2 linked regions of the Styela clava genome follow. The protein of the gene in region 1 purifies or fractionates together with the protein of each later gene. This does not show direct contact. Links are inferred from orthologs where the notes say so. Each region holds a gene or a part of one and is shown in the gene's direction. Other genes may lie near its edges.

Region 1 (11,866 bases):
CGGTACTATTAAAAAACAGATTGTTGTGTGCGATGAATCATAATGATGATTTGACACACATACCCCATTTTACAGGCGCAAGCTCGCAAAAGCACTCTTAAAATAGCCCTGGCAATTTTGCAATGGTAAAGTATAGGGAGAATTTTCCGAGGGTCAAAGGTCGGGGAAAGGTCCATCGGGTCACGCTTATTTTATCTTTTAAATTAAATGATGTCATGTGATAATATTGCTATTTTTTGTATTTTTAACATTGAAGACACTGACGGCGCTATGTCGATCTGCCCTGGACGACACTAAAAGACTGAAGGAAGAAACGGATGAAGTGGAGGAAAAACGGAAGTTTAAGTGTTCCCAAGGGTGAAAAATTGAAAAACACTAAAAGGCTGAACACTAAAAGGAAGAAGTTGATGAAATTTCTTCCGACGAATAATGAGGTGGTTGAAGTCACTAAAAAGCTGAACACTAAAAGGAAGAAGTTGATGAAATTTTTTCCGACGAATAATGAGGTGGTTGAAGTCACTAAAAAGCTGAACACTAAAAGGAAGAAGTGAATGAAATTTCTTCCGACGAATAATGAGGTGGTTGAAGTAACTAAAAAGCTGAACACTAAAAGGAAGAAGTGGATGAAATTTATTCCGACGAATAATGAGGTGGTTGAAGTCACTAAAAAGCTGAACACTAAAAGGAAGAAGTGGATGAAATTTCTTCCGACGAATAATGAGGTGGTTGAAGTAACTAAAAAGCTGAACACTAAAAGGAAGAAGTGGATGAAATTTCTTCCGACGAATAATGAGGTGGTTGAAGTAACTAAAAAGCTGAACACTAAAAGGAAGAAGTGGATGAAATTTCTTCCGACGAATAATGAGGTGGTTGAAGTCACTAAAAAGCTGAACACTAAAAGGAAGAAGTGGATGAAATTTCTTCCGACGAATAATGAGGGTGGTTGAAGTCACTAAAAAGCTAAACACAAAAGGAAGAAATTGTTGAAATTTCTTCCGACGAATAATGAGGTGGTTGAAGTCACTAAAAAGCTGAACACTAAAAGGAAGAAGTGGATGAAATTTCTTCCGACGAATAATGAGGTAGTTGAAGTCACTAAAAAGCTGAACACTAAAAGGAAGAAGTGGATGAAACTTTTTCCGACGAAAAATGAGGTAGTTGAAGTCACTTATAATCTGAACACTAAAAGGAAGGAGTGGATGAAATTTCTTCCGACGAATAATGAGGTAGTTGAAATCACTAAAAAGCTGAACACTAAAAGGAAGAAGTGGATGAAATTTCTTCCGACGAATAATGAGGTGGTTGAAGTCACTAAAAAGCTGAACACTAAAAGGAAGAAGTGGATGAAATTTCTTCCGACGAATAATGAGGTGGTTGAAGTCACTAAAAAGCTGAACACTAAAAGGAAGAAGTGGATGAAATTTCTTCCGACGAATAATGAGGTGGTTGAAGTCACTAAAAAGCTGAACACTAAAAGGAAAGTGTGGATGAAATTTCTTCCGACGAATAATGAGGTGGTTGAAGTCACTAAAAAGCTGAACACTAAAAGGAAGAAGTGGATGAAATTTCTTCCGACGAATAATGAGGTGGTTGAAGTCACTAAAAAGCAGAACACCAAAAGGAAGAAGTGGAAGAAATTTTTTCCGACGAATAATGAGGTGGTTGAAGCCACTAAAAATCTGAACACAAAAAGGAAGAAGTGGATGAAATTTTTTCCGACGAAAAATGAGGTAGTTGAAGCCACTAAAAAGCTGAACACTAAAAGGAAGAAGTATATAAAATTTCTTCCGACGAATAATGAGGTGGTTGAAGTCACTAAAAAGATGAACACTAAAAGGAAGAAGTGGATGAAATTTTTTCCGACGAATAATGAGGTGGCGGAGGTCACTGAAAAGCTAAACACTATAAGCAAGAAGTACGTTAGGGTTAGATGTTATTTTGTCCTATCGATTTTGAGGCGGTTGAAGCCACTAAAATACCGAAAATTAGGAGAGTTAAATAGCCAAAACATATCCCGACGGAAGTGAGATTGGATGAAGACCCTGACAGCGGACTGATGAGTAGGCATGCCACTTTTAAATTTATGAATTGAATCGATTCAAACCGCAATTTTTTTCGAATCTGATTTACGCGATTCGAAAGAAAGAGAGCCGTTTAGCGAAGAAAAACAAACACTCCAAATAACACCAATTGCCAGACGGGAATGTAACTGAATTTTTCGTTATTTACTTTTATCGATCTGCCTTCATTCATTTTCATGTTCAGCGCAACACACCCTGATCATCACTCGAGATGCTGACGTGCTGTGTGGGTAATTAATTTCCTTCAATCTGTCAGTTGAGTATTCTACTGAATGACCTAAGTTTCTATCACACGCAAATTAAAATGAATCGTATACCCGAAAGTTCGTTGCAATTTTGTTAAAAATATGCAACAGCACACCTTCTCTGCGACTAAGTTATGGTACGCTTTGACATGAATTGATAAACGATCAGATACCGACTTCTAGAAAACATTTAATTTTGATTGAAATTTAATTTAAACTCCGTTGAAATTGAAATATTGGTACTACTGAAGTACGCGCACCAAGATGTCGCACAACCTGATCCCTAACCTCGTACACCAGTGATTTTCAACCTTTTTTGTATCGCGGAACACTTTTTTTATTCTAAAATTGTGACGGAACACCAAATGAGATTTTTGGAAATAAACTATATTATGCAATTAACTGACATCGATCATTTCGGAATAAAATAAATTAACGAAATTAATAATAGCTTGTCAACTTCAGCTGGAAAAGACGTTACACATATTCCGATTCAGAGCTAGGAACAGAAATGGTATTTTAATGTAATATTTGGGCCTGTTTCGATAAGTTTCAATATTTTATTCTGGCTGGAATTAAATTGAGAGAGACAAACACGCAGCTCTTTCTCGGTGACTCTCAATTTTTCGTGTTTTTTATACTCCTATGGCGGCCAAGAAAAGGGTGGGCAAAATCGAATATTTTTTTCGAATCAAATAATTCGAATATTTTTAACAAATACCGAATAGTCCAATACCGAATATTTTTTATACGCAGCATGTCCAGAACGTCGCCGCCATGGATCGCCGTTGTATTTTGTAAATACGAAAATAGGTATCAAAAATTAATAATAATCGCGCAGTAAACCACACATCTATGTACATAGATTGCCGTGGTATTGTGCCCGAATATAATTAATTTTTGATCCCGTATTTCATTCTTTGAACTTAATATCTGTTTTTATAAATTTTGCAAGCAGTTCACGCACGAAGGCTTTGAATAATGATGTATTAGTCAAATCGAAGTCCTGTTAGACCACTGGTTCTCAACCAATGGGCCATGGGCCACTGGTAAGCCTCAGAGGCATTTTGAGGGGGGCCACAAACATATTATAAATTACAAGGTTTGTTGATTGGAAAAATTGATTTGATAACAAAATCAGCTTCACGCGTCTTGAAAAACAAGACATCTATTTCAAAACATGCCTCGCCGTAACCACCCATTGTGGCGCAACATACCCATTATACGGCAGGAAATGCTAGATATGAATATATATATATATATATATATATATATATATAGTAATTTGTTTGCACATTACATCAAAATTAAAAAAAATATAACGAGAATGTCATTGCCTTCAATATTCGCCAGGCTTGAACTGAGCATAACATATAAAAAATTAACAAAAAACGAATCCACGAGGACATTGTCACATAAATACGAACAAAACAAACATTAAATTACCCAATTCCTAATATATTAAATTTTCAAGTATTCCTCATCCTCACTATCCGTCGGAAGAAATTTCATCCACTTCTTCCTTTTACTGTTCAGCTTTTTAGTGACTTCAAACACCTCATTATTCGTCGGAAGAAATTTCATCCACTTCTTCCTTTTACTGTTCATCTTTTTAGTGACTTCAAACACCGTATTATTCGTCGGAAGAAACTTCATTCACTTCTTCCTTTTAGTATACAGTTTTTAGTGACTTCAACCACCTCATTATTCGTCGGAAATTTTTTTATCCACTTCTCCCTTTTAGTGTTCAGCTTTCTAGTGACTTCAACCACCTCATTATTCGTCGCAAGAAATTTCATCTATTTTTTCCTTTTAGTGTTCAGCTTTTCAGTGATTTCAACCGCCTCATTATTCGTCGGAAGAAATTTCATCCCCTTCTTCCTTTTAGTGTTCATCTTTTCAGTGACTTCGACCACCTCATTATTCGTCGGAATAAATTTCATCCACTTCTTCCTTTTAGTGTTCAGCTTTTTAGTGACTTCGACCACCTCATTATTCGTCGGAAAAAATTTCATCCACTTCTTAAGAAATTTCATCCACTTCTTCCTTTTTGTGTTCAGCTTTTTAGTGGCTTCAACCACCTCATTATTCGTCGGAAAAAATTTCATCCACTTCTTCCTTTTAGTGTTCAGCTTTTTAGAGACTTCAACTACCTCATTATTCGTCGGAAAAAATTTCATCCACTTCTTAAGAAATTTCATCCACTTCTTCCTTTTTGTGTTCAGCTTTTTAGTGGCTTCAACCACCTCATTATTCGTCGGAAAAAATTTCATCCACTTCTTCCTTTTAGTGTTCAGCTTTTTAGTGACTTCAACCACCTCATTATTTGTCGGAAGAAATTTCATCCACTTCTTCCTTTTAGTGTTCAGCTTTTTAGTGACTTCAACCACCTCATTATTCGTCGGAAAAAATTTCCTCCATCTCTTCTTTTCAGTGTTCAGCTTTTCAGTGACTTCAGCCACCTAACTACCCGTCGGAAGAAATTTCATCCACTTCTTACTTTTAGTGTTCAGCTTTTTAGTGTTTTTCAATTTTCACCTTTGGGAACACTTCAACTTCCGTTTTCCCTCCACCTCATCCGTTTCTTCCTTCAGCCTTTTAGTGTTGTCCATCTGTCCTCTGGTGTCCCATCAGCCTAAGCTGTGGTTTGCAGCAGTACAGTTGTGGTTGTTTTAGTTGGATATTTAGTGTTTTAGGTTTATCTTGTGTCTGGTTAATTAATGTTAGTTCTTGAGAAGGGTACCGGTACCAAGAGTGTTTATTTTTGATTTTATGGTGTATGACGGGTTTGGATATTCTAATATTGGTCAATAGGATGTTTTTATTGTTTGAGTGGGGTCTCGTGTAGTTTCGTACCTAACGTACTTCTAGAGGGCGTAGCATAACAATTTTTTCACCTATCAATCCTAACATCCTACCTATCCTTCACCTATCAATCCTACCTGACTACCCCATCCAAAAATTACGTCGCTACGACGTCACAGTGACATAATAAAGCCCTTCAAACTATACAAACTGTCACCCAAGACGCGCAGACGAGAACCTGAAATCGAACAGCTATATTTCTCGTCGCAACGATCCCGATAGGATCGCTGACGTTAGTTAGTTCTTTATCGTCGGCGCCGATGTCATTTCGGGCGATCGTACGTGTATTTGGCAAGTTCTATAACGTGATCGTGACGTAATTTTTGGATGATGTAGTCAGGTGGGGGTTAGGATTGACATGTCAAAAAATTGTTATGCTACGCCCACTAGAAGTACGTTAGGTACAAAACTACACGAGACCCAAATTACGTCACCATCACGTCATACTGTCATGGGGGTTGCTTAAGTATAATACGATCGTCCGAAATGGCATCTGCGCCGCCGATAACGAACTCCCTAACGCCGGCGATCCCTCTCCTATGGCGATCGTTGTGACGAGAAAACGAGAGAAATAGCTTGGGTGATCTTCTGGGCGTTTTGGACGACCATCCGTATACTTTGGTGGGCCTTATTACACCACTGTGACGTTTAAATGACGTATTTTTCTGGCGACATAATCAGATGGGGGTTAGGATTGACATATGCTTGAGTCAGGCTAACTAGAAGTAGGGTAGTGTAGCCAGTCTGCAGACGATTTCATTCAAACCGCTATAAAACAAAAACCAATATTTATAACCTGTTAATTTTTTCACCATAGGTGCATGGGTATTTCTTCTACACTCTAAACCTCGAATTAACTTTCTACGACCAGGTGTTAAAGCTATACAAACCACCATAGTACGACACTCTGAAGGCCTATTTGCGATCGAACGACCAGTGTGCGACCACGGATTTCAAGCCTTGAACATCATTTCTGCTGCGTCGAGACTAGGGCATACGCAGCCATGCGTCAAAAAAATTAGCTTCTAATTGCATATCTGACTGTCATATATTTTAAGAACAAGGTTATTTCGAACAAAACTCGTCAAATTTTAAACAAAGCACCGCATTACAGCAATCAAACAAACAAAAACACGGTGGTCGCAAATTGGTCGACAATCTGACAATGCTATTATCGACGTATTGGAAATGCGCACCCCCCTATTCCCCCTCCTTTAAATGTAGAAACGCGAAACTTCAAAGATGGTTAAAAGAAACAGAACTCTACCCACCTGCCAAGTTTCATCTTTTTATCTCTTATATTTGTATGGATTTTCAAGCTTTTTCAAATGGACAGTAGGTAGTTGGCGACATGGAAAAATGATCCGTTCACCATATTATCTCAGCAATCTGTTTTAGACAGGGGAAATCGGGACAGGGTTAACAGGAAGGATGAGGCAAGGGGGACTTTGAAGTTGGACATCGATGCTCGAGAGACAGACAACTCACGTAACTGCGTACGGTAATGTACTTGCTTATCGACTGGCGTTAGTGCCGACTGACATCAGGTGTAGGTCAACTCATCACGACAAGGTTTCAATCTTTGGGTTCGACTTTGTTTTTTGCTGATGATGTCTTTTATAGGCTATCTCTGATGAGTTGTCCGTGCAGTCGATTCGTCCGCCTCCCTCAATACGGGTAAACATGAAAGAGTAGAGATTAAATGTCAAAGTCTCAGGCCTTCTTTTAATCTGCTCTTCACAGATCATATTTTGTATAGACTAACATTTATCAGTTCCGCCAAAATTATGGCATCGTCACTGTTAAGAATAACATCAAAGACTGCTGTGGGTTTAACAAGATCGACAGTAAGTATTGAAAATGTTCAATTCCATTCAAATATGAAGTTTTTAAATTGTACTGCCACTAATTTTAATATTCAGATATCTAGAATTTCAAATGATTTGATAGCTTTTAATATTACAAATTGAGAAATGCAGAATTTATTATGACAATTAGGCATCACACTATTAATTTTTCAGTATATTTTTACCACTAACAGTCAGCTTGTTTATTTTTATGATATATTTATACGCCCTATCACTCCGATAATGGCTCTGGACAATCAACGAGTCTGGTATAGTTTAGTACCACACGCATTTCTAGTTGGCCTGGCTCAACAATTTTTGCATATGTCATTCCTAACCCCCACCTGACTACGTCACCAAAAAATTACACTACTACGACATCATAGTGGCGTAATAAAGACCTCCAAAATGCATGGATGGTTGTGTGATTGTGATGTCGTAGTGACATATCTTTTGGATGGCATAGTCAGGTGGGGGTCGGGAATAACAAATGCGAAATTTGTTATGCTACGCTCACCGGAAGTACTTGTGGTACTATACTATACCCCAAGCAACGTCTGCTAGGTAAAGCTACTATATTTCACAATTGGTCTTTCCAGTTTGACAACGCCTACTAATTCATCACACTCTGGGTGACTTTGTGGGAATGGGATTCAAACCTGAGATTTTTAACTTGTGATGTCAATTTAATGTCCAGCCCTTTGAACACTAGGTCATCATGCCTACTACGGAAAATTTTATAATTGAATAAACTTATATGTATAAAGTATAAGTTAAATATGTATATAAGATGATTTATTCACCCAAAATGTTTAATTTTTCAAGGGTCTGAATGTACTACCATGCATTACGACTGGATTAGATAATCAGTTCCACACTTCAAGCAAGACAAATACACTTGTTAAACGAGATCAGATGTCGAATGAGTATCCAGTCATAGACCACACATACGATGCTGTTGTTGTTGGAGCGGGGGGCGCTGGTCTTCGAGCTGCTTTTGGACTTTCAGAAGCTGGCTTCAAAACAGCTTGCGTCACGAAACTATTCCCAACGCGATCTCACACAGTGGCTGCTCAGGTTTGAGTCCTTTTTTCCATTTTTTTGGTTTCTACCAGGTTCGACATGTTTTTCGCGTAATCGGAATTGCAGACTCTCTATGTTGCTAAAGTATTTCAAAACTAACCACTGGAACTCAAAAAGCACTAATATTATTAAGCGTTCTTATTAACAGTGTAGAGAACCTGTACATTCTGAACTTCTGTTATCAAGATGTGATATTTCATGTAGTTCGGAGGTTCGTGTCCCTTAGTTCTTACCCTGGTTCCAGTGTATTTGTTTTACTAGTGATTGTATCATATCAATAACGAATCTTGTTATTCTTTCTGACAGGGTGGCATAAATGCAGCTCTTGGTAACATGGAAGAAGATAATTGGAAATGGCACATGTGAGACTTATTCATTCTTCATCTTTTATTTTTAACCATTTTGAGATACATGTAGGGATAAATTATTGAGATTTTTGATGGGGAAAGCTCTTATTAGGTCTGAAACCAGGAATCCAAGTTTGCCATGGAGTTGGACCTGATGTTATATTTAAAAACTGCCCATGTTCTGGAGTCAAAGTCAAAAATTTTGTCCCCAGACTTGGAATTTCATACTTTCAACTGTGATAATAGTGTAAATTTTGTGATAGTAGTAGTTCTAGTCAAATCTTTGTCAGTCTGGAGTTGATTTCAAGTTTTCTGACTCTGTTCTGACTTTTTGATATTGAAGTTGGAAGTCAAGTGGCTACTAGCTCTCATTAGGAATTATGTTTCAACAAGATTCTGAAAGTAACATTGGTTTCTTACTTTTTATAAACGATTTATCGAACAGCTCTAATTTCCTGACAAAATTGTTTGCCGATGATGCCTGCCTTCTCGATAGTGCGAAGGATTTGATCACACTCCAAGCCAAAGTGAACACTGGAATTAATAAAGTATATGAGTGGATGATATGCAATAAACTCACTGTAAATGTGGAAAAATCCAAAGTCATGTTATTCAGCCCTAAAAGCCGGACTAGAAATTCAAGTCTTTCAATTAAAATTAATGGTATTCCACTAGAAATCGTCCAGTCTTATAGATATCTTGGGCTTCATATTGACCATCAACTCAAATGGAACAGCCACATCACTGAAATGTACAAGAAACTCTCCAGATCAGTAGGGATTCTGGGAAAACTCAAGTATTATGTGCCGAGCCCAACTCTGCGGACTATTTACTTTGCTCTTTTTCAATCACATATCCAATACGCCTTAGCTGCATGGGGCTCCGCTACTCAAACTAGCTTGCGTAAATTAGAGATTTTACAAAATAGGGCTGTTAAAATTCTCTCCGGAGCACCAGTTCGTTCAAACATAAACACCCTATATCATAAAGCCAGGGTGCTAAAATTGTCTGACATCTATAAATTAGAAATTTCTAAGATTATGCACCAGTTCCACAACAACCAATTGCCTGCAGCTTTCGCTGATTATTTCACTGTTCTCAGTAATGTGCATGAGCATAACACACGCTCTTCGACAAAATCGAATTTTTTTGTTCCCAGATTTTCGCTAAGCAAGTCCCTAAACTCCTTGAAGTATAAGGGTGTTGTAATTTGGAATAGTATTCCCCAAATCTTACGTGACTCTTCTTATGAAACTTTCAAAACAAAATATAAAAAATTCTTGCTGTCACCTTACCAGTCTGCTGTGATTGCATCCAAATGATGTGGCCTCAGCACTCGCTTGCTCTGCTAGGCCTATACCTGTAATAATAATACTTTTTTTCAATTTTTTCATGTCCTCATCTTATTGCATTCTTGCCAGTGATTTGAATTATGTAAAGTGTGCCATGCTAATTGCATGACCTGTATTTGTTCGTAACCTGCACAATATAGTAAACTACTTTTCTTATGTTTGAGATGGTTCATGAAGCTTTGTACGAATTCATGGAATTTAACCACATTGAAATTCTAAGCCCATCTGCTCAAGATCTTGGTTAATTAGCATAACATCGTGACTTGTTTTCTCTTGCAGTCAGTAAAGCCCAAATTGTTTATCTGATTGTCATTATACTCTTATATAACATTGTAAAAGTATTACCTGACAAATAATATTTTTTTATGTACTTTTAAACTTTGCTTCATTGGTTCACTCAACTATTAGACTACGGTACTTGACTCTTCTTAGTTTTGCTGTTTCATGTCTAGTAGTCTATCTAGTTTCCCAGTGTGAATGTTGATACTAGGTTACATTCGTTTTGAATGACTGTTATGGAATATCTTTCACATTTTGATATTTCATGTCTTCCCTGATTTTATATTTCCTGTAACGTTATGTGAAGCCCTGACTCCAGCTGCCAATCACTAGATCCCATTAACAAACAGGTACCTCAATTCCTTTCTAGCATAAAGGTATGGTTTATTCGTTGGTGATCCTGTTGTCGCCCTCAGCAAACCATGGGTTCCACTGTAACCAATAACCATGCGCCATCAGAATTTGACATTTATTGCCCATTGTTAGCTAATGGGCATCACAATAGTATTGTTGTGATACAATCCACTAACGCCATCTCCATGGCTACCGAATCAGTGGTGTTCGGAGTTGTCTTTTCTTTTGTTGAAGCCTAAGTGACTATTATAGTCACTTTGGTTGAAGCGAGCGATTGCTGGTTACAGCAGATCGTCTCGAGATATTTTATGTATTTTTTTCCTCAATTTATTTAAACTTAGTTCGTTTTTTTGTTTTTTATATTATAGTGTTAGACTTATTTTATAGGTGCCGCTGCTCGATAACCAGTATTGGTTTCTCGCGTCTCCTTCACCCTGAAATATGGCCAATTTATATTTTAATTTATTGCAATTTGTATGTTTGTGCCTATTTTAAGTATGGTGAGAAATAAACTACTGATTACTGATTACTGATTCTTTTGAACCCAAATTTGGTAATAGATCTTCCAATATGATTCGAATTCTCACCGAGCATCTCTATTCATACGTAAGTACCGTAGTTTCAAAATGTATAGTTTATTCGACAACGGTTGTGGTGCGGATGCTTTGTCAGGATTGTAGTTCAGGATGTCCAACACCTTGTGGAAATTTTCTCTTTACTTAAATCTACATGTACTCGCTTACTCTAACATGACTCAATAATTTTCCAGGTATGACACAGTAAAAGGATCAGATTGGCTTGGAGATCAAGATGCAATTCATTATATGACAAAAGAGGCTCCTGCAGCAGTTATTGAGGTATAAAAATATTGTTTTATCATAAAATCTGACTTGAATTAGCTATGATACAGACCAAGACAGTGAGATGTTATTTTTCATCCATATTCAACACGAATCGAATATTATGATGACGCTTCAAATTTGTTATATTTTATATAGTAAAGTCTTGATTTTAGAAAGAATGTTAAATATTCAATTTGAAAATTTTTCAAAAACTTCAGTAATCTTTTGACACTAGATAGAAAATCAGTTATAATCATGTTTATGTCTATATTTCCAAATACTAAATTCAATCTTTACAAGAGGAATACCCTCCACAGGACAAATTGATTCGAATTTTTCAATGGTTGAAGATTGTTGTTGTCGCTATAAGGCTATTACATTTATTTATTCACAAAACTTCTATGGGCTATATGGAGTTAGATTTTCACTTTTATTTTTGTGTGACAGGGATGACGTCATCAAAATAAAAAATTAGCACTGTACTGTGGTTCTGTGATCACAATTCAGTGATCTTGTAATGAGACTGGTGGCACTGTTAAACGTTTGATGCTACTTTCATTTTGTTCTTCGT
Region 2 (9,520 bases), on another chromosome or scaffold:
TTGCTCGAGAATCAGCCTTTCGAAGACTACCATTCCTAGAAGAATTGAAGAAATTGGCGAAAATCTTAATTCAGTTCAATTCGTTTATTACTCCAGACCCCGCTTCGGTCCATATAAAAATAACACAAACAAATAAACATAAGCAAAAATACAATAAATACATAAGAATACCTGATACGACAATCAGATGAGCAACTGCAATCGAAAGTAGACCTTCGAATATTTTTCACTGGCTTTTGATAAAAGCTGTGATATGAGTGATACTGAGCAATTATCAATCCGCGCTGTAGCAAAAGACCTATCTGCTTACGAAGATCTTGTTGGACTTTATGACACAACACGTGGATATAAAATAGATATAAAAGAAGCTGTGTTAAATGCGTTTCACTATAAAATTAGTTGGATTGACGACGGCGCAGCTTCTATGACTGGTAAAGAAAACGGTGCGGTGACGCTATTGAAAAAGTACTTGCAATAATCTGATTTTACTCAGGACAATATTACTTTTCACTGCTTCATTCATCAAGAGTCTCTTTGTGCTCAATGTATAAAGATGACTCATGTTATGGACGTTGTTGTAAAATGTGTGAATGAAATTCTGTCGAAAGGATTGAAGCACCGCCAATTTCGAGCATTCTTGTTGGAGATGAAAACACAATACAAGGACTTAGTGCATCACTCTCAAGCTTGCTGGTTAAGTCGATGGAAACTTTTGCAGCACTTTCTTAGCCTTTTTGAAGAAATTGAAATATTTTCACAGGAAAAAAGCTTGGTTCCTGACTTTGAGAAGTATGCTATAATATGGAGTCCCCGTCGTCAAATCTTTTCAAGACGCTTTCAAGATTATAATGACTGGAAGGGGCAAATGAATTTATTTCAAAGACCATTGAGTGTGGATGTTGAATATATTGAAGACGCGGACGCTCAACTGGAACTTCTGGATTTGAGGTCAAACCATGTTTTGCAGGATGTTTTTTTAACAAAATTCAGTACTTGAGTTCTACTCTCGCCTCGAAGAAGAGAATTATCCAGTTTTGTTGAGAAATTCAAAAGTCTGGATTTGTTAATTTGCAAGCACGTACAGTTGTTAACAGGCATTCTCAATCATGAAAATAAACAAATTCCAGCTACGGACTCGTTTACTAGATGAGCATATAGATTCAGTGATGCGAATCGCTATTTCTCCCTTGAAGCTCAACATTTCAAATTTGGTCCAACAAAAACGTCTTCAAATCAGCGGTTTTACACGGGATCAAATCGTTTCAATAAATAGATATTCGTTATTATGTATTATCATTGAAGTTTGTTTGATATATGTTATACGGGAATTTGTTTACAATACCAAAAATTGTGCGTGGCACGCGACAAAATTATTTTGAAAAATTTGGCACATATCCTCATTTGAGTTGTGCACCACTGGTCTAGACCAGACATGGTTAAAGTACGCCCCGCGGGTACGTCTAACCTTTCATGTCACACTGACATGGCCCGCCAGACTGAGTAGGTAAAATTTTTGGCCCCTGATTTGAAAACCATGCCCACCCCTGGTCTAGATTCTACTAGAGGTAGAGCAAATAATTTATCCCAGAATTATTTTAAAACAAAATATATGTTGTTCTATAATAATAAAAAAACATGCTATTACCAACTTTGGAGTAGGCTCTGGCAGTAATATAATTTAACAAAGCAAAACCGTTGAATATTTGGTTAAACAATTGATGACGAATTGAGTTGGAAGCCACATAGCTCAGGCATGAAAGAAATTACGCAAACTCTAGGAATATTTCACAGATTAGGGCACATTCTGAACTGCGAAACACTTAAATTAGAATATTTTAGTTTATTCCACTCGCGACTACTTAGTTGGGGTTCAGCAACAAGGTCTTCCTTACAGCCAATTCATGTTCTGCAAAATAAAGTTTTAAGGTGCATGACATTTGGAAAGAAAAGTCGTGTAAATAATTTGCAGCTTTACCGTCAGTATGAATTCCTACAGTTCTCGAATATGAATACACTAGAATTTGCAAAGTTCATGCATCGGTATGAAAATTTAACCATTATTTCACCCCATTACAAAACGTTCATAGTCACCGCCCCAGGTCTCAAATAAACAAGAGTTACACACGTTCTCACAAGTGTCTACTGAGGTGGAAAAAACATCTTTGAAGTATGTAGGTGTATAGGTTTGGGGCAGTGTTCCACCTGGAACCAAAAAAAGTCGTGTGCATATTTTCACATAGTTTTTTTTTCTTACTGAAACACTCAAATTTGTCAACTTTATCAATACCTCATGTTAATATGCATGTAGTAATGTATAATACTATAAGTTCAATTGCTTCACATATCAAAACTGTATACTGAAGGTCTTAGGCCTCTTCCAACTTTACGTATAATGGAATGTTTTATTCCCTCTTTTATGACACAAATTCTCGTTTTATCACTCTGTAATGATTGTGATGTTTACGATTATTGTTCAATAATGAGTTCTAAAAAAACTGAATCAAAAGCCATTATAAACAAGAGAGCTATGCTCAAATATTTGGACACGTAGAGTCACATAATTTTGATGACGTCATAGCGAAAAAAAAAGTAATAGCCTTCTGGAGAAAATTTTTATCTTTAACCACTGAAAATTTCAAAGCAATTGGTCCAGTATTCGAAGAGAAAAGCGACTTTTTAAAAACGTGTCAAAGAACAACAACAACAACATAATATTGAAACGATCGTTATGTCCACTACGTGTCCAATAATTGTAAAAATTAAACTCTTGATAACTGTCATAATTCTCTGGGACTCAAAAACTTCAAGTGACCTATTAAGATCACGACTTGCAGTATTAACTTTACAATGGCGAATTGCTGACTCCCACATATATATCAATTTTTTTTAATTCTATTTTATCCGTTTTTCATCGCAGATGCAGTTTCTGAATGATTACATATATACAGCTTACACACATGGGCCATGATCCTCGATGACCTAACCGGACTTGCATGAGGAGGTTTCTATATTTAGTTTTTGTTTCTGCAGACAACAAGAATTTTTCTCACACAGATAGGCGGTATAGGAAATCTTATCAGAACTTTTGGAGCTTCGAGTGATTGAATTCTTTCATCAGTATGATCCAAAACTGTGTGAGTTCTATTTCTTTAAACTTGCTCGTCAATTCCAAGTTCGGTGATTTATCAACCAGCTGTTCTTTTAATGAGAGGGTTGCCACGTTAGGGAAAGCATGAAATGAGTTCTGAATCCAAAGAAAGTTACCAGCGTTGATGATAAAATACCTTTCAATAAATTCAGCTATATTCGTTAGATACTGGGAGATAGAGACTTTCATATTTACTTTTTTATTTGCAAAACAAGCTGGTTCGAAAGAATATATTCACATAAATTTCATTCAAGCATTCGTGCTTTCCTCCAAGGATGGGACCTTGAGCTTTGAAATATGTTACTTTATTTCCTTGTAACAAAATATTTACTTCATTCAAGTTAGGGAAAATATCTGCCAAACAACGCCAACGAATAAAGTCACTGCACTGCATTTAACAGCAAACTCGTGTTGTTTTAAAAAAATGAAAAACTCTTCATGCAACTCATAAAATCTTGCCAACACCGTCTCTCTCAACAACTAGCGAACTTCAGTAAGTAACAATAACGTTCTGTGAGTTTTTCATATATCTTCACACAGCAATTTAAAAATTATGGAATTGAGTGGCCTAGCTTCAATAGAGCCAACAATTTTTGTCACATCTCCCAGCACTTCAACTAAATCAGGAGGCATCCGGTTAGCTGCCAGGGCATGTCGGTGAATGAGACAATGAATGTCAACAGTTTTTCAAATTTTTATTTGAGCCATAACTCCAGAACATTTACCCCACATTGCTGCCACACCATCTGTACACACTCTTGGACAGTTTTTCCATAATATATCATGATCCTCAAAAAAAGATTGAATCAGTAAAAATATATATATATATCGCCTGTCGTGTAAGTTTGTAAAGGTTTGCTGAAAAGTAGGTTTTCTTTAGTCTCAAAATTATAGATGTAATGAACGAATACAGGTAATAGACCTATAGCTAAATCCTTTGTCCATTTGAGGAGAAAAACTGCCTGGAAACTGTACTGTTTGAAAGAGGTACGGCCTCTATTTTGCGAACATAATTTTTGCTTATCATGCTCTCAACTAAATCTTTTGCACACGATTTTATTAGGTTTTCAGCTATTGTGTGAGCCTCTCTTTGTTGTGTTATTCATTCAAAAACTAAAAATAAAAAAGACTGAGTCCGTTTTTGTGATCTTCACAGACAAGCCTTGGAAACATATTTTCCCTTTCATTTAGTTCTTGGTTCTTCATTTTTAAATAAAACCGATGTTTCTATTTTTAAGTTGGGAGTGATTTGTTTCTGAATGCCGTTTGAAAAAACAGTTCCACATTTTACACGAAGCTCATTTAACTCTTTCTCATCATCCGTCCATATGAAGCCAAAAATTAATTTTCATTATATTTTATTTTCTTAAAATCTTCAATAGTTTTCTTATTGTTTAAGTTCGATTGCGAACACGATACCACTGCAGCAGTTACACATGAGTCATTTGCAGTTGACTTGCTTTCGTTTATCTTTACGATTTTTATATTGTAAAGGGTAAAAACAATATTTGCAATTTTTTTTATATATTTATGCCTACGCTGTTAGACACAATCTACGAAAATTAAACTAGGTACTGAAAATGCAACAGATATACGACCTTCCAAGAGGAACAGGAGAGAGAGAGAAAGATATTTATTTTTTCGTCAACCAAAAATAACAGTCATCCTAATAATAAATAATAATAAAAATACCAATAAGAAATAAATTAGTTTGGTATAGACAGGAGGGAGTGATACGACCAGACGGTCATCAAAGTCAACTCCCCCCTTCAAGCTATTATGTTTAAGATCCACAGTTTCAGATGACTAAAATATTGGGGAGGAACATTCTAGAATTTGAAATTATATTCTCAAAATGTCGACAGGAGGAAAATTGCTGCTTTTAAATTGTGGTGCTACCATAGACTTCTTCATGTAGACTGGGTGGACACACGAATGGGTGCCGGAGAAGATTGGACCATGCCAAAGACTGCTGGACAACATCAATAAGAGGAAATTATGATTTCTTAACATGTGGCCAGAACAGACGGCGTAACAAAAGATATGCTCTTTAGTACAACCCTGGGCAAAAAAGACGTGGAAGACCAAGAATGTCGGACACCTTGGGTGGGATTATTCTGGCTGAGTTGCTCAGAATGGCGCAGGACTGGAGACAATGATTCATGAAGAGTGCCGCGTTTGGTCAGTGATGGTCATTCCGGCAAAGAAAGAGAGAGCAGGAACAGACCGAAGACACTAACTAACATGCGTGAATGATAAATTGAGCAGTTGCCAGATGCTTCTAACCGAAAAGAGCTACAAGGGACAAGCCACATTTAAATTAAGCATCGCTCATTCATCAAATTTTTGTATGTATAGAATGAAAAATATAAAGAATTTAAATATTAAACCGTTCTTAATAGGGTTGATACAAGCTAGAAATAAAATTAAATTCCACATATAAATTATATTAACGCTGAAAATTTGACTCTGGACAAAGATTTCAACTTAAGTGGTGTTGAAATGTGGCAACAAAGCGGTAACTGAATATGATAAGTAAGTGTTACTGTTTGATTCGATTTCGAAATGTGATATTATAATGTGATGTCATATTTGAATTACCGCCGTCATATTTACGGTAATTGCCACAGTTCAATGCTACCGTTGTCAACTTTTATTATTGCCGTTATTGCTTCCTTGGACAGATACTGGTACAAAGTTAGCCGAGTCAGTATTTTAATAAGTAAACGAATAGTAAGTGTAAGTAAGCTAGTTTATTTCCGTTACAACAAAACAATGATAACAAACAAATATACGGAAAATCGGGAAAGTGGGCAAAATCCCAAAAAGATTTAAGACGTGATGATGCACGTGCCCACTTACCCCAAACAACACATCAACAAATTTAGAAAAAGACACGAAAGATAATTCTGGCGTTAAATACCGGTATCTAGGTGAATAGCTAACGGAGCCCTAGTTTTCTCTCACAGATCACTTTAAGAGCCTACTTGATGGTATGCTTTAGTTAGACTACCGTACATCTTACAAATGCCAGGATGAAAAAATGCCTTTCTGCCTTCCCAAAATTGATTCCATTTAGGTAGGTGCCGTCCAGATTTTGCTAAGTTACATTCTTAGGCCTAATTACAGAATTACCTATGCCAGTATGCTGAGCATTTTTTCCCATTACAGTCTGACAGTATTCTGGTATACCTTAGTCTGCCAATTACTGAATGAACGTTAGAAGTTGTATCATTCGCTAAATTGAATATAATTTTTACTGTTGCTTTGAGTGGATTTGCAATGCAGTGTGCTTATTCCTTGTTGGTACACAGGAGTAGAGGTGCCTTACACACTGTTATTCAAAGATTTACGAGCAAAGATACCGTCCCAGCCGAAGATAGCGATCTGCGAGATATTTCTTATCCGACATACAAGCCCAAAGATTCACAAGAATCTTTGGTAAAGAAAAGAGCAAGACTCACATGGCAAAGTAGAAAAAGGGGAATTGCTGAAAACTGTTTACTTTTCAGTACTTTTGCTGATAAGTATCTAAATGACTTAACAGCAGATCAGTTGATTATGTATGATAAATTATTGAACACGGCGGATAATGACTGGGATATGTACTATTGGATGACTGGTGCGAGATCTATCCCAAGAGAATTTGATAATGAAATTATGCAACTTTTGCAAAAGCATTGTAAAAATGAGGAGAAATCTGAACGATTTGAACAACCTCCATTAAATTATGAACCTATTGATAAAAAGGTTTGAGATCTATGTCATATCTTAGTGTATTTTTGAATTGGCTTGCTGGGAATTATGAAACAGTGAACTGCTCTAGGATGACTTGATTACTTGGAATTTGGTGATTCATCCATCGTGAATCGAAGTCATGCTCCATCTTTTCTAACGTTAGACATGGGGTGTCTTCAGAGATTTCTAAAATACCTAAAATATGTTTGTTATTAATGGTTTCTGGTTTGTTCTGCATTTTCAAAATTGATTCGACATTTGTAATAAAATGTTGATATTGTTGAAATTGTTTAAAAAGATTGGAATATAGTAGTGAAGCATTTGTTAACTGTTAAACATCATTTCAAAATACTGATTTTCAAATTTTTTTATTTAATAATTGTTTTATTAATTTCTGATGATATCTTGTTCTTATATTACAGTAATATAATTTCGATTTGTATTTTGGTGAATGATAAATGTTAAAATATTACGATTTGCTTATTTTTTTGTGTTTATAGAGAGTTAATACTAAATGTTAAAAGATCTTGAAGAAATTGATTCATCTGATAGTGATAGTTCAATTATCGAAGATAAAGGCATTTCTTCCAAATCACTCCCTGGTACTCTCACTGCCAGGGTACTAAAATTGAGGGAACAACTAAATAAAGAAGAGGTTTGGCGACACTTCAATTTTTCTGTATAAAATGCTTCTATTTTAGAGATTATTTCACATGAGTAATTAACCATGCATTCATGAAATATTCAAGCATGTGGTAATTTTCCAATGAAAGTTTGACATAATCATTAATATCTGTAAAATTCATATTATAATAACCATAAGTGACTATAAAAACAATGATTATATCAAACTCTTTTTTAGGCTAGAGTTTGTTTAATGATGTCATTATATATATTTGATACAGGGTCTTGAAAAGTTAACAGATCAAGTATATGTTGAGAGGGAAACATCTTCATCCGGAGTCAAATTAATGTAGGTTCATGTATATAATTTGGATGAAAATTAGATATTACATGTTAGTTCCATTGTATCAGGTTTTTCTCTAATTCTGGTCCAACTTCTGAGGTATGAATAAATTTTGTTTTATACTGCAGTGCTGTCATTAAATGTCATGGAGAATTCTCAAATTGTTATTTTCAAGATTTGCTTTTTTGAAATTCAGTAAAATTTGTTCCTACTCCAAAAAATCAAAGTTCATTTAGTAGCAGTGACTGGTATATTACATTTACCTTGTAGTAGGGATACCTGTCAATCTTTACATAAGGTTATATATATCAACTTAGCCCTTTCAAATAACTCATGAAATTATTATCATAATGCTAATTCACATTTATCTTTAGAGAGTCATCAAGTTCTACTTCTACATTCTCTCACTCTGAGGGAGACCTAAAAAATCAGCAAGTAAGTTATACTTTTTTAAATTTGTGAGATTCATGTGTAACGGAGCATAGGATACTTTCAAGCAATGATATGCATAAGAATCTATATATTTTTTGTTGATAACATCTGGTTACACCAAACTCTTTTGGATCTATACCAAATAACAGGAATATTAACTAAAATGGTTCAATTCGACGTTTTGTTTTCAATTGCTAGTTGGTTTTGAAGAAAAAGTTGAACCAATGTCTAAGACAAGGGAATGTAACTGAGGCTGATAAGTTGAGTGATCAATTGAGCCAAACTGAGCTTCAACTTCGTGAAATTAAAGCTGTTGTTGCAAGAGATTACTTAAAAAGAAAGTGTGCAAAAGAGGAAGACAAAGCAAGAAGAAAGAAAAAGAAACTTGCTTGGGGGTACGTTTATATAGCCAGTATATAAAGCTTGCTTCCAAATTTTGACTTTTTCAAAGATTCAGTTTCAAGTTGTTCAGTGTGATTTGATCTTCAGGTAAGTAGATTCAAGATGGGGAAAGATATACTTTTGTTTTCATGTGAAAAACTGATATCTGATTCAGTGTAACTAACTCATGTTCATGAATGACGATATTTTGTCTAAAAGCAGCATTGGTAACCCTGACTCATAAAGAGGCAGAGTACTTCCTAGAGATAACACTTCTAACTAACATGTTTCTATGGTTGAAGTTAATAATTGCTTTACATGTTGTTCACATTCCTTTAAAATTCTACAACAGTGTGATGTTCTACTTCAATAGTGGTAATAATAAGATATTTGCTATTAATAAGATATTTATGTTCAGGTTTGAAACCAAGAAAAAGTGGGAAACTAAGAGTAACATGTAACAAGTTTGAAAATGGCTAAAATTTGTTGCTCAGAATCATTTTTATCAGTCGCATCAAAAGACCTCCTAAAAGTATTTTCCTTGGAAAAAGGACAGTGTTTGTACACATATACACATGAATTTGACAACTCAGTCACAGATGGGAATAATAAACCATTGGATGATAGACTTGAAGACTTGTGTTGTACAAGCGATGGAAAATATATTTGTGCAATGTACTCCGATAAACGAATTGTGGTCTTGGACCCAACTGAATGGGAATCTGCCAAAGAAATTAAAGTTAAAAGACGTCCTACTGCTATGTGCTTTGACCACAGTGGGAATGTCTTATTCATAGCAGACAAATCGGGTGATTTATACAAATATGATCTGCAGACTGAACACAAAGGTATGG

The links.
Region 2: the proteins of succinate dehydrogenase [ubiquinone] flavoprotein subunit, mitochondrial-like (region 1) and succinate dehydrogenase assembly factor 2-B, mitochondrial-like purify together in Homo sapiens (co-immunoprecipitation; 3 studies listed by BioGRID and IntAct, counting the BioPlex papers as one, with this or other methods). This does not show direct contact. The link is inferred for Styela clava from reciprocal best matches to the Homo sapiens genes SDHA and SDHAF2.

What each region holds. Positions count from the first base shown.
Region 1 is NC_135261.1:7,413,617-7,425,482, forward strand, and holds the start of succinate dehydrogenase [ubiquinone] flavoprotein subunit, mitochondrial-like, read left to right. Parts: upstream 1-6,876; 5' UTR 6,877-6,978; coding exon 6,979-7,038; intron 7,039-7,863; coding exon 7,864-8,115; intron 8,116-8,427; coding exon 8,428-8,483; intron 8,484-11,222; coding exon 11,223-11,310; intron 11,311-11,866. UniProt on the Homo sapiens protein: Flavoprotein (FP) subunit of succinate dehydrogenase (SDH) that is involved in complex II of the mitochondrial electron transport chain and is responsible for transferring electrons from succinate to ubiquinone (coenzyme Q).
Region 2 is NC_135257.1:3,691,032-3,700,551, reverse strand, and holds succinate dehydrogenase assembly factor 2-B, mitochondrial-like, read left to right. Parts: upstream 1-6,430; coding exon 6,431-6,904; downstream 6,905-9,520. Other genes in the region: tRNA (guanine-N(7)-)-methyltransferase non-catalytic subunit wdr4-like, read left to right, coding at 9,139-9,520.